Drosophila melanogaster: one gene and its partner. Changing the gene in region 2 together with the main gene of any one other region gives a genetic interaction. Each region holds a gene or a part of one and is shown on either strand. Other genes may lie near its edges.

Region 1 (7,184 bases), on a different chromosome or scaffold from region 2:
GCTGCAATATTCATATATATAGAATATGTTTTGTGCACTTACCGATTCCGAAGTTCTTGGGACGCTTCTCGAACAGCTGGTTAACAACCTTCTTGACCACGGGCTTCTTGACAGCCAGAGGAGCGGGAGCCACCTTCTTGGTCACTGGCTTCTTCTTTGGCCTGGGCTGTAAACGCAATGAAAACACGCATTAGGTTAATTCGAGTTAACAGCAAATTTACGCCGATAACTCACCTTCTTGACAACCATTTTCAAGCGGTTTTAAAGTTTGCTACCGAAATAAGCAGTTGCTAAAAAAGAATTAGCACATTAATACGTTTTAAACTTGGTAAAGTTAATGGGAAAACACGCAAAACTTCGGCGACCAGCAAAACACGTGCATGAAAAATGTAAGTACGGAAAGAAAAAAAAAACCATGTTGCTTGCGTGTGTGTGTGTGTGTGTGTGTGATAATTGGGTATAAACAACACACGTTTTTTCGCAGATTTTCCGAAGAAATCTACTCCGTTTTCATTAAATTGAAGAAATATTACTTTCATTTTGATAACTTTGAAGTTTTAAGGTTTCTTTAACAACACTTCTACACACACACTCCATACACCTGCACCAACACATGCACAAAAACATGCCGCAACGCACATTTTTGTTCAAATGGGTTGGAATTTGGCAATTTCACTACAAAAAAAAAAAAGGTTTTCGGAGTATACTGCGTACTTCACGTGTTGTTTACACTTTGTTCTTTTAAGTGGCACATTTAAATCCGGCTTTGGAAGCCCACAGAAAAAAAATTATACAAAAAATTTGGTTTTGCACACATTTTCGCCGGCCGCGTAGTTTTTGGGTGAATTTCTGGAATTGTGAGCTTTACCTGTGATAAGCACGACCACGAACGTATCGAAATACTCGCTGAAAGTAAATAAAATATTGGTTTTTAGCACAAAATTCAGGACTGCTCGCTAGGCACATGCACTCACCGGAAACGTGGAACGAAAAAGAAAGGAAGTGGCAGTTCCAATGTTGGAAATCGAGTAGATTCGATCTGACCGTGCCACATTTGCACCGAAACGCCAAAAGAAGCGATATACCGAGGTGAGAGGCTATGCTTATTCTTAGCAGAGACTCGCTCCATTTATGTTTTAAAAATTTTAAGGTACATCAGATAAGTTAAAAAACAATGTTATTTAAGCGTAACTTCTTTTTTAATAGGCCAGCGCTTGAAAACGAATCAAATCGTGGTCAGAATACCTTTCGTTTAAATAAAAATAATATATCTAACATTCCATCCTATCTAGGACATACACCACAAATGTGATCGTTACAGCAAAGACATGCTCAAATTATGAATTTCTTAAAAGTGACCGATTTGTATTACCGAAAATCTTGAAAAGAAATACTAAATAGAAAGAAACTTTGGAAGCAGCCAGTGTTGGAGGTCGCGTTGCTTAAGAAAAGTAGCTTAAACTTGCCAAAGTAAATAAAAAATATTGAAATTAATATCAAGTAAAATCATTGCAAGTTCTTATTTTTTTCATTTCAATATAGAATTCAATTACACATATATTAATTGATTAATTAACAAGCTAAAAATAGTATCTGTTTATATTCAAGTGCAAGAAAAGAAAATAAAAAATATTAAACATTTAGCTAGATCTAGCTAGCAACCAGTTATGCCAACCCTGAAACTACCGAATCCAACTGGTGGCTGCAGATGCAGTGCGGTATTTTCATCCGGCCTTATTTAGCCATTTTCCGCTGTTGTCTCTCATTAAATCGCTGTCCAACAATAAAAATTTCTCGCCTGCGCTTGCGCTAAATGCTAGAAAAACTGTTTTTACCATCAAACGTGAATTCTTAAGCTGCGCCTAAACGAAACCGAGTGACTAAAGAACCAGAACGAAAACTTCGGGAAAATGGAAGCCAGGGAAAATCAGGGATAACTAACGCTGGCAGCGGGTCCACCATTTTTAATTTCTTTGTTTATTTTGTGCCCATCTTCGCGAGCGAGCGAGATAGCGCGACAGCAACAGCAAGAGAGAGCGAGAGAGAGAGAGTGAGTGAGTGAGAGCTAGTGAAGAGAGCGCAGGAGGAGTTGGATATGGAAATGGGCATGGATATGGCAATGGGCTCACTCCACGGATAACGGATCAACTGCAAGCAATGGCCAGCAGCGCCGGAAGTGCGGCATCCGGATCCGTTGTTCCCGGTGGCGGAGGTAGCGCCGCCTCCAGTTGTGCCACCATGGCCCTGTCCACCGCCGGATCCGGTGGGCCGCCCGTGAACCACGCCCACGCCGTCTGCGTGTGGGAGTTCGAGTCGCGCGGCAAGTGGCTGCCCTATTCGCCGGCGGTGTCGCAGCACTTGGAACGCGCCCACGCCAAGAAACTGACGCGCGTCATGCTGAGCGATGCGGATCCCAGCCTGGAGCAGTACTACGTCAACGTGCGCACAATGACCCAGGAATCGGAGGCGGAAACGGCCGGCTCCGGCCTGCTGACCATCGGTGTTCGGCGCATGTTCTACGCACCCAGCTCGCCGGCGGGCAAGGGCACCAAGTGGGAGTGGTCGGGCGGCAGTGCCGATAGCAACAACGACTGGCGGCCCTACAACATGCACGTCCAGTGCATCATCGAGGACGCCTGGGCGAGGGTGAGTGCCGTGCAGAATCGAATGTTTTCCCATTGGCAGTCTAGTTGGAATTTTGAGTTGCTCAGGAATTTTTTTATCGGGAGAATATATGGGGAATCTTAAAAGAGTGTGGGTTTACCACTGATCCTGAAGAATTGGCTAAGGATGCACCAGTCTGTGATGTGTCCATAGGTGTTTAAATAGTACATATAAGCCAAATTCCACAGTTCACATCTCAGCCAAAAAACGTAGTAGATCGAAGAAGTGTACCTTTTTGAATTTCTGATGCTTAGACAAATAAATCTGCATTTAAATTTTTTAGCTAAAATCAAATTAATTTTTTTTTCAAAAATTTCCATTTTTGCAACCTCAAAATGGGACAAAAAAATTGAAAAAAAATTTAATTTTCACTTTTGTAAAAGTTTGAATACAGAAACTTTCTGCTTTAAAAATAATGACTATTAAAATCATTCGCACTTAAATCGCTGGAGTTTTGGCTGAGTTATGGTATTATGATCAAATTTTAGGGGCTATATAAATTTATTCTTCTTCTTGCACAAAGTCCAACTGCAACCGCATATCAATCAATCAATATCATCAATTATAGATTGTAACATAACTTATTCCTACTCCCTTGCAGGGCGAACAAACCTTGGACCTGTGCAACACCCACATCGGCCTGCCGTACACCATTAACTTTTGCAATCTCACCCAGCTGCGCCAACCCAGCGGACCCATGCGCAGCATTCGGCGTACCCAACAGGCGCCGTATCCCTTGGTGAAACTAACGCCACAACAGGCCAACCAACTCAAGTCGAATTCCGCCAGCGTGAGCAGCCAGTACAACACTCTACCCAAACTGGGAGACACCAAGAGCCTGCACAGAGTGCCCATGACCAGGCAACAGCACCCATTGCCCACCAGCCATCAAGTGCAGCAGCAGCAGCATCAGCACCAGCATCAACAGCAGCAGCAGCAGCAACATCATCACCAGCATCAGCAACAACAGCATCAGCAACAGCAGCAACATCAGATGCAGCACCATCAAATCCATCATCAGACGGCGCCCAGGAAGCCGCCCAAGAAGCACAGCGAGATCTCCACCACCAATCTACGCCAGATACTCAACAACCTAAACATCTTCAGCAGCAGCACTAAGCACCAATCGAACATGTCGACGGCGGCCAGTGCCAGTTCATCCTCCTCATCGGCCTCGCTGCACCATGCCAACCATCTGTCGCATGCGCACTTTTCGCACGCCAAGAACATGCTGACTGCCTCGATGAACAGTCATCATAGTCGCTGCTCGGAGGGATCGCTGCAGTCGCAAAGGAGCAGCCGGATGGGCTCGCATCGCTCGAGATCGCGTACGCGGACCTCGGACACGGACACGAACAGTGTGAAATCGCATCGGCGGAGACCCAGTGTGGACACTGTGTCCACTTACCTCAGCCACGAGAGCAAGGAGAGCCTGCGCAGCAGGAACTTTGCCATTTCGGTCAATGATCTGCTGGACTGCTCGCTTGGCAGCGATGAAGTTTTTGTGCCCTCGCTGCCGCCATCGTCGCTGGGCGAAAGGGCGCCGGTGCCGCCGCCATTACCACTGCATCCGCGACAGCAACAGCAGCAGCAACAACAGCAACAGCAGCTGCAGATGCAACAGCAGCAACAGGCGCAGCAGCAGCAGCAGCAATCAATCGCCGGTTCGATTGTGGGCGTGGACCCGGCCAGCGATATGATATCGCGTTTTGTCAAGGTGGTGGAGCCACCGCTGTGGCCCAATGCCCAGCCCTGTCCCATGTGCATGGAGGAGCTGGTGCACTCCGCCCAGAATCCGGCCATTTCGCTGAGTCGCTGCCAGCATCTCATGCATTTGCAGTGCCTCAATGGGATGATAATTGCCCAGCAAAACGAAATGAACAAGGTGAGCACGCGAAAGCGATGCCAATTAGAAAGAGAAAGTTTATTTAAATTTCATTCCCCTAGAACCTTTTCATCGAGTGCCCTGTATGCGGCATCGTTTACGGCGAGAAGGTTGGCAATCAGCCCATTGGCAGCATGTCGTGGAGCATAATCAGCAAGAATCTGCCAGGACACGAGGGTCAGAACACCATACAGATTGTTTACGAGTAAGTGTGAATGTGCCTGTGGCCACTGAGCAATCAACTATAATCACTCTTTTTCATTTGCATGGCAGCATTGCATCGGGACTGCAGACGGAGGAGCATCCGCATCCGGGTCGTGCCTTCTTCGCCGTGGGATTTCCGCGGATCTGCTACTTGCCGGACTGCCCGCTGGGGCGAAAAGTGCTGCGCTTCCTCAAGATTGCATTCGATCGTCGGCTGCTTTTCTCGATCGGACGATCGGTGACCACCGGACGCGAGGATGTGGTGATCTGGAACAGTGTGGATCACAAGACGCAGTTCAATATGTTTCCGGATCCCACCTATTTGCAACGAACCATGCAACAGCTGGTGCACCTGGGCGTGACGGATTAAGGATTAGTTCCCTGTCCCCGAGTAGAACTACCAACCAACCAATCAACCAACCACCCACCCACCGAAGTCCCCTCGATCATTCTCTTCCATTCGTCGTTAAGTTACTTTCTACATAATCTCAGTGTGTGTGCAATCCTCGTTTACTATGATATATTTTTTTTATAGATATATTGTAATAGCGTTCGAGCTGCTCGAACCCTAAAACAACAGCAAACCACAATTGCAATTGTAGCTTCCTTTCCGCTCTTCCAATTCGTATTTGTACGCACATACGCAATAAGTTGGCGTACATCATATGTATTAGCTAGTTAGTTAGTTAGTTAGTTGTAGCTGTAGTTCCCAAGAGAATCTTGACCCAAGACACCTACTAGTATTAGGCATTATCCTGATTCTTGATTCCTGATTCGATTCAAGCCAAGCCAAGCCACGCCATTCGAGTGCAAGCTGTGCCAAAATCGTAGCGCTCCCGTTTATAGGATATGTATATTGTTGATATAGCTAGCTATAACCATTGCCCATCTCTCCATCTCTCTCGGTTTCGAATTTGTCTCTTTCATCAGATCCATGTGAATTTTCTTTATATCGGATTTATATAGGATTAAAATAGTATTTTGAGAGAGGAAATGGAGATGGGTAAATTCGATAGACTTGTCTCACTTGTCTTGGCCATTTAATCTCTTTCATTCAGCGAATTTGATGTGATTTTAATTTGAATTATTCATTATTAAACGGAGCATTTAGGAAGCATAGTTGTAACGCAGCCAGATATTCCATTACGCATATACATATACATATACATATACATACATACATAAACATATTTTAACATAGCCCCATAGCCATACGACATAACAATAATTTTTTTTATCGAATCCCTTGCATACATTTGATGAATTGTTGCTTTCATATTGATATCATCGAGCATCGAACGAACTATCGTATACATCGCCAATATATAGCATATATAGCATATAGTATGTAGAGATCGTACGGACAGCTAGCGGCTACTGACCGCGCCACCATATTTGATATATGATATGATATGATTTTACTAAGTTGTATTTAGCACTGATTAGTTATTAAAGTTCATTGCGAATATTCCACAACAAATTCCACACCATTTATGTATGCATATTACGCATATATAATACAGTACATTTATATATAGTTCAAATAAAGTAACTTTCATTCATGTTCAAATTAAGTCTTTCTTTTGGGATATTTATTCACTCATGTCTAAAAGGAAATCTTTCTTTTTGGACTTTTTCACTTATGTATGTATGTTCGAATGAGTTCTTTCTTTTGGGACTTTTTTCTTTATGCCTCTTATGTTATATTATTCACTCAATTGTGCCATGCTGCTTGTAAACTAATTACCAGCACAAGCTTAAATTCCAATTAGGTGGCTCTATGGCATTGTTGCATTGTTGCCAGTTTCTTACCAATGCGGTGCAATTCAAATCAATCAGTTGACATTTTTGGAACTTCCAAGGTTTAGCTGTTTTCAGTTTTCGGTTTTCGTTTTCAGTCTACGCCGCCGTGAATCACTTAAAATAAATTAATAAAAGACAAAAAATCCGATGCATTTTTTTTTTTTTGTCATTGTGCAGTGCAGCGAGTGCGTGATGTGTTGGTGATGTTGGATATGCTGGTGATGTTGGCGATGCTCTGGTGAAGTTGCTCCGGGCCATTTAAGGCGCAGCGGCAACAAGTTGAAGACGTGTTGTCGTTGTCGCCATGTCGCCTCTTCAACTGCCTACGTGCTGACGTCAGGCAGGCGCAAGGACAGTGTCCAAAAGTGGACAATATATATATAGCGTGGCCCAGAGCGGCTTTCACTGCTCCTCCTCCAAGGGCGGCCAATCATTCGGCCGCAGCTGTTCTTGTTGCAAGTCGTTAGTTTGGCATTAGCAGCACTTGGCCAAGTCTACGATGTGAAAGGATCGAGGAGCAACTGAAAGTTGTAGATTTCTCTGGCTTTGGGCCTGCTTCATATCTATGGATCATCAAGTGATCATTAGATATTGGGATATAGATACAACTCTTTTCAGCTTGAGCACT
Region 2 (4,881 bases):
GGGCAACATGGAAATCCACCAGAGCATTACAGCCGAGACCCTGCAAGCGCACCACCAACTCTTCCGAGAAGCTCCTCTCATCATCATGGACAGCAACATATCGGAGCAGGCCATGGCCAGCATTCTGCAGCAGGCGCAAATCAACAAGATTCCAGTCTTCTTCGAGCCCACAGATATGTTCATAGCCGGTAAACCGTTCAAGCTGCTGCCGGAGTTAACCAAGAACATACGCCTGATCAAACCGAATATGCAGGAGTTGAAAACTATTACGGAGGCTATAACGGGCGAAACTGTCAAATGGAATCCAGAAACCAAACAGCCACAAACGGAACTGGTTCAGCAAGCGAAGTCCTTGATCAAAAAAATCGACAGCCACTTCAATTGCATCATAGCTACGCTGAGTGACCACGGGGTGCTACTCAGCTATCGAGGGGACGCTGAAAACGATGCCAGATTGCTCCTCGATGTGAGTAAGCCCACGCCGCCACACAGCACTCGCTTCTATCCCGCTCCCATGGTTCACAATATTGTGAATGTCTCCGGAGCGGGCGATAGTTTCTGCGCGGGCTTCATCACTGCCCTGCTGCGAGGGCGATCTCTGGACGAGTGCATCGCCGGCGGCTTTGTGGCCGCTGAAAGGGCACTGCAGTCTGAGTCCGCCGTTCCCGCAACGTACTTCTCAAATCAAGAATCTTTTGAGAGTCGCTACAAGCATACTGCCCGGATCATTCAACAGCAGAGCATATAGATGGTACTTTGAACACCAAAAAGAACGAAGGCATTTACTCAGGACGTTTTACTTTATTCCTAAGTATTTTCTTACCGTGTACAAGTTAATGATTTGTTAATAAGCCCATCTGAAAGATACAATTAGAGTCTGTATATTGTTATAGAAAACCTCGTTACTCAAACTTACAGCTTTATAACTTTGTCCTTGCCACCAGAGGCAACTCTAGAGCCATCGGGCGCCCAGTCCACTCCGAACACCTCATCCGCATGTCCAGGCAGCTCCTGTGCCAGTTTCTTCGTCTGCACACTCCATACTAAGCAAGAGGATATGTATTAGCTAGCGCTAGAAAACTGAAACTACGTGCTAACCTTTTAGAGTTGAGTCTTTGCTGCCGGAAACAATCAAGCGGGAGTCCGCGGACCAGGCAACCGTGTAAACAGCCTGCACATGACCCCGGAAGGTGGCCATGTACTGACCATCGCTGGCTCGCCACAGACGCACTGACTTGTCAAATGAAGCAGACGCAATTAGCTTTACATCCGGCGAATATTTCACGTCGTTGACCACGTTCTGGTGCCCTGTCATGCGCTCAACGCACTTGTTCTGGTTGTTCCGCCACAGATAGAGGGTGTTGTCATCCGAACAGGAAACCAGCGACTCCACCTCGTCAGGGCACACGGCCTGGTAGCGCTTCAAGGCAGATTCCTGCAATTCCTCAGCTGTAAAACAATCTCTTTTAGGATATACAGCATATATAGAGAGCATATGAATTCTTACTGCTCAAACTGAGGTGGCTCTTGGAGCGATCCTTCACCGGATGGAATGGACCAGTGCGCAGGACGTAGTCGGTGCTCAGCGCAATGTTGTTTACCCAGTGAGCGTGGCCAGAGAACGTCCGGCACAAGATTCCATCAGCTGCTCGCCACATCTTCACTGTGCGATCTTTGGAGGATGTATAAATAAGGCCCGCTCCACCCCATCTCACTGCTGTCACAGCATTTGTGTGTCCGGCAATGTTCATAAGGCACTGGCCCAATTTCACGTCCCAAATCCGGCAGTCCCCGTCTCCACTGGCGGAAGCAAGTTTCCTGCACTCCGGATCGCGATGATACGGTTCCCAGGCGAGGCAGTTGATGTGTTTCTTGTGCCCACTCAAGGGTCGCCCCTTCTGCTGACCCGTCTCCGGGTCCCAGATGATTATAGAGCCCGCTTTGCAACCGCTGGCCAACCGTTTGCCATCCGGAGCCCAGGATACGCACAGAACCCACTGCTTATGACCTGTGCAGGTGAAGTGCGGTGTCTCTGTGTTAAGATCCCACAATCGCACTGTGGTGTCGCCACTTCCACTGGCGAGATGAGCACCATCCGGGCTGAAATTCAGCGAAACCACAGCCTCGGCGTGTCCCGGCATGGAACTCGTGCATCTTGTCACTGGGCGCACTTTGAAAACCGCCTGTGGCTGATACACAATATCGATCACGTTTTCGGTGTCCACTGACGCCAAGTCCAACGTGTCCTCCAGGCTCTTCTTGATCTCATCCTCGCCCACGAAAAACAAATATGGAGTGGCTTCCTCGTTTTTCAGCAGCGCGTTGCAAATCAGACCCAATTGCTGGGTAGTGATTCCTGCCGGCAGGTCGATTGGCGGGCCCGCTTCCTCGCCCGTGTCCGAAACGAGGCGCGCCTGTATCGTATGTGGCGTGGCCTCTTGCTCCGTGTCCGTCTCCTGCATTTTCTGTTTTTTGGCCAACATTCTCGCGGTCAAAACAAAAGTAAACACGTGCCGCAACTTGTTCGTTAGTGATGAGCAATCGGCAGACGGCTCAGCTGGCCTGCCAGCTATCGATTATTATTTGCTTAAAAAATAATAAACAAATAATGCATTTATATTTTGTATCGAACTTTGTAATAAAAGTTGTCCAAAATATCATCATCAATATCGGGTGGAATGAGAAGATTTAAGAAATCGAATGTTTCCCGATAGCTGCTAGTACGATATGATATGTATTTGGTCACACTTAGACCAGGCGCTATTATCATCTGGTAACACTGGTTTTACATGTACGCTCTTCTCTTGGTAAAGTTTTTATAAAAATGGAAAATATTCCGCGAACACATGAAGGTAAGCGATATAAACACTCACGGTGGCAAACCACCGCCATTGCCAAAACGTAAATATACTATCTGCGCACCAAAAGGAACCGCACACACAAATGGGGATCGACCGGTTTTTCTGGCTGGTGGTCTACTATGAAAATCAAGTATCTTTACCTATTTTTACTCACAGATATCGAGGCACAGATCAGCGTGATCCAGGAGAAGAAGACGGAGTTGGCCAAGACCACTGCCGCAGCAGCCGGCGTGGGATTGCTGGACAGCGGAGGATTCTTCGACAGCGACTTGTACGACGATGATGCCGCCAAGGGGAAGGGGCGTTACGAGGGGTACAACACCTCCATTGCGGCCAACGACGCCGAGGAAGTCGATGAGGATGAGGACGACGGCTTCCCCGTGCCCCAGAAACGCACCACGTACACGGCGCCGGCCTCCGTGCTAAAGGACGTGACCCAGGGCAAGGAGGATGTGGATCCCATGGCAGACCGCAGGCGTCCAACGATTGCCGATCGGGAGGATGAGTACAGGCAGAAGAGACGTCACATCATCATTTCCCCAGAGCGAGCGGATCCCTTTGCCGATGGCGGGAAAACCCCAGATGTGGGCTCTCGCACCTACACGGACATCATGCGGGAGCAGATGCTGAAGGGCGAGGAATCTGAGCTCCGCCGAAGAATCCTGGAGAAAACCAAGGAGGGAACTCTGGTAAAGACCGTTACATCGTCGTCAACTTCAAATGGGGACCTGCCTGCACCAAAGGACGGCGGCAGAAAGCGAGGCAGATGGGACCAGACGGTCAGCGACAGCTTCATCCCGGCCAAGATGGCCACGCCAAGCAGCGCAGCTACCCCAACTTGGGAAGATGTGAGTATTCTGGGAAGTATAATGGATGATATAATAAAATATTAATTTACTCCGTAGAAAACTCCTGGAGACCACCGTTGGGATGAGACTCCGGGTCACAAGGGCAGCGAGACGCCAGGAGCGACGCCGGGACTGGGCACCCGCATCTGGGACGCCACTCCGGCCCACGCTGTGACCCCAGGACACGAGACTCCTGGACACGAGAAGTCGGCCCGTCGAAATCGCTGGGACGAAACCCCGAAAACAGAGCGTGAGACTCCCGGACACAGCGGATGGGCCGAGACTCCAAAGCCAGATCGCACAGGCAGTGGAGGCGGCGCGGAGAGCATATCAATCGAGTCCACCCCCGGGGCCTCCAAACGTCGCTCTCGTTGGGATGAAACGCCCTCGAATGCTACGCCGGCTATTACTCCTACAAATGCGAGTGCCATGACTCCAAATATGACTCCCAGTATGACGCCACATGTGACTCCGGGACATGCTACTCCCATGCTGACGCCCGGAGGCAGTACTCCTATCGGAGTCAAGGCAATGGCCATGGCCACGCCCTCTGCGGGAGCTCTGGCTGCGATGACACCAGAGCAATTGCAAGCCTATCGCTGGGAAAAGGAAATCGACGAGAGAAACAGGCCATACACAGACGAAGAGTTGGACCAAATCTTTCCGCCTGGTTACAAAATTCTACCGCCACCAGCTGGCTATGTTCCACTGCGCACTCCCGGCAGAAAGCTGATGGCCACGCCTACGCCAATTGCTGGCACCCCAGCCGGTTTCTTCATCCAAGTGGAGGACAAGAATGCCAAATTCATGGATAACCAACCAAAGGGGCAAAATCTCCCCTTCATGAAACCAGAGGATGCGCAATATTTTGACAAGCTACTTGTAGACGTGAACGAAGACTCTCTGTCGCCTGAGGAACTCAAGGAGCGCAAGATAATGAAGCTACTGCTGACCATCAAGAACGGCTCGCCACCAATGAGAAAGTCGGCCTTGAGGCAGATTACGGACAAAGCAAGGGAATTCGGAGCAGGACCTTTGTTTAACCAGATTCTTCCGTTGCTTATGTCGCCCACATTGGAGGACCAAGAGCGTCATTTATTAGTGAAGGTAATTGATCGTGTTTTATACAAACTGGACGATTTGGTGCGGCCCTATGTGCACAAGATTTTGGT

What was found.
Region 1: of Nle (region 2) and dx, changing one suppresses a phenotype caused by changing the other (phenotypic suppression), as found in Drosophila melanogaster (one study listed by BioGRID).

Annotation. Positions count from the first base shown.
Region 1 is NC_004354.4:6,532,256-6,539,439, forward strand, and holds dx (deltex), read left to right. Parts: upstream 1-1,743; 5' UTR 1,744-2,157; coding exon 2,158-2,646; intron 2,647-3,265; coding exon 3,266-4,549; intron 4,550-4,611; coding exon 4,612-4,754; intron 4,755-4,822; coding exon 4,823-5,123; 3' UTR 5,124-6,320; downstream 6,321-7,184. Other genes in the region: RpL7A (ribosomal protein L7A), read right to left, coding at 43-166, 235-249.
Region 2 is NT_033779.5:565,582-570,462, forward strand, and holds Nle (notchless), read right to left. Parts: upstream 2,541-4,881; 5' UTR 2,484-2,540; coding exon 1,508-2,483; intron 1,450-1,507; coding exon 1,099-1,449; intron 1,044-1,098; coding exon 917-1,043; intron 892-916; exon of another isoform or gene 858-891; coding exon 845-857; 3' UTR 785-844; downstream 1-784. Other genes in the region: CG2794 (uncharacterized protein), read left to right, coding at 1-748; Sf3b1 (splicing factor 3b subunit 1), read left to right, coding at 2,825-2,852, 3,018-3,709, 3,767-4,881. UniProt on the Drosophila melanogaster protein: Plays a role in regulating Notch activity.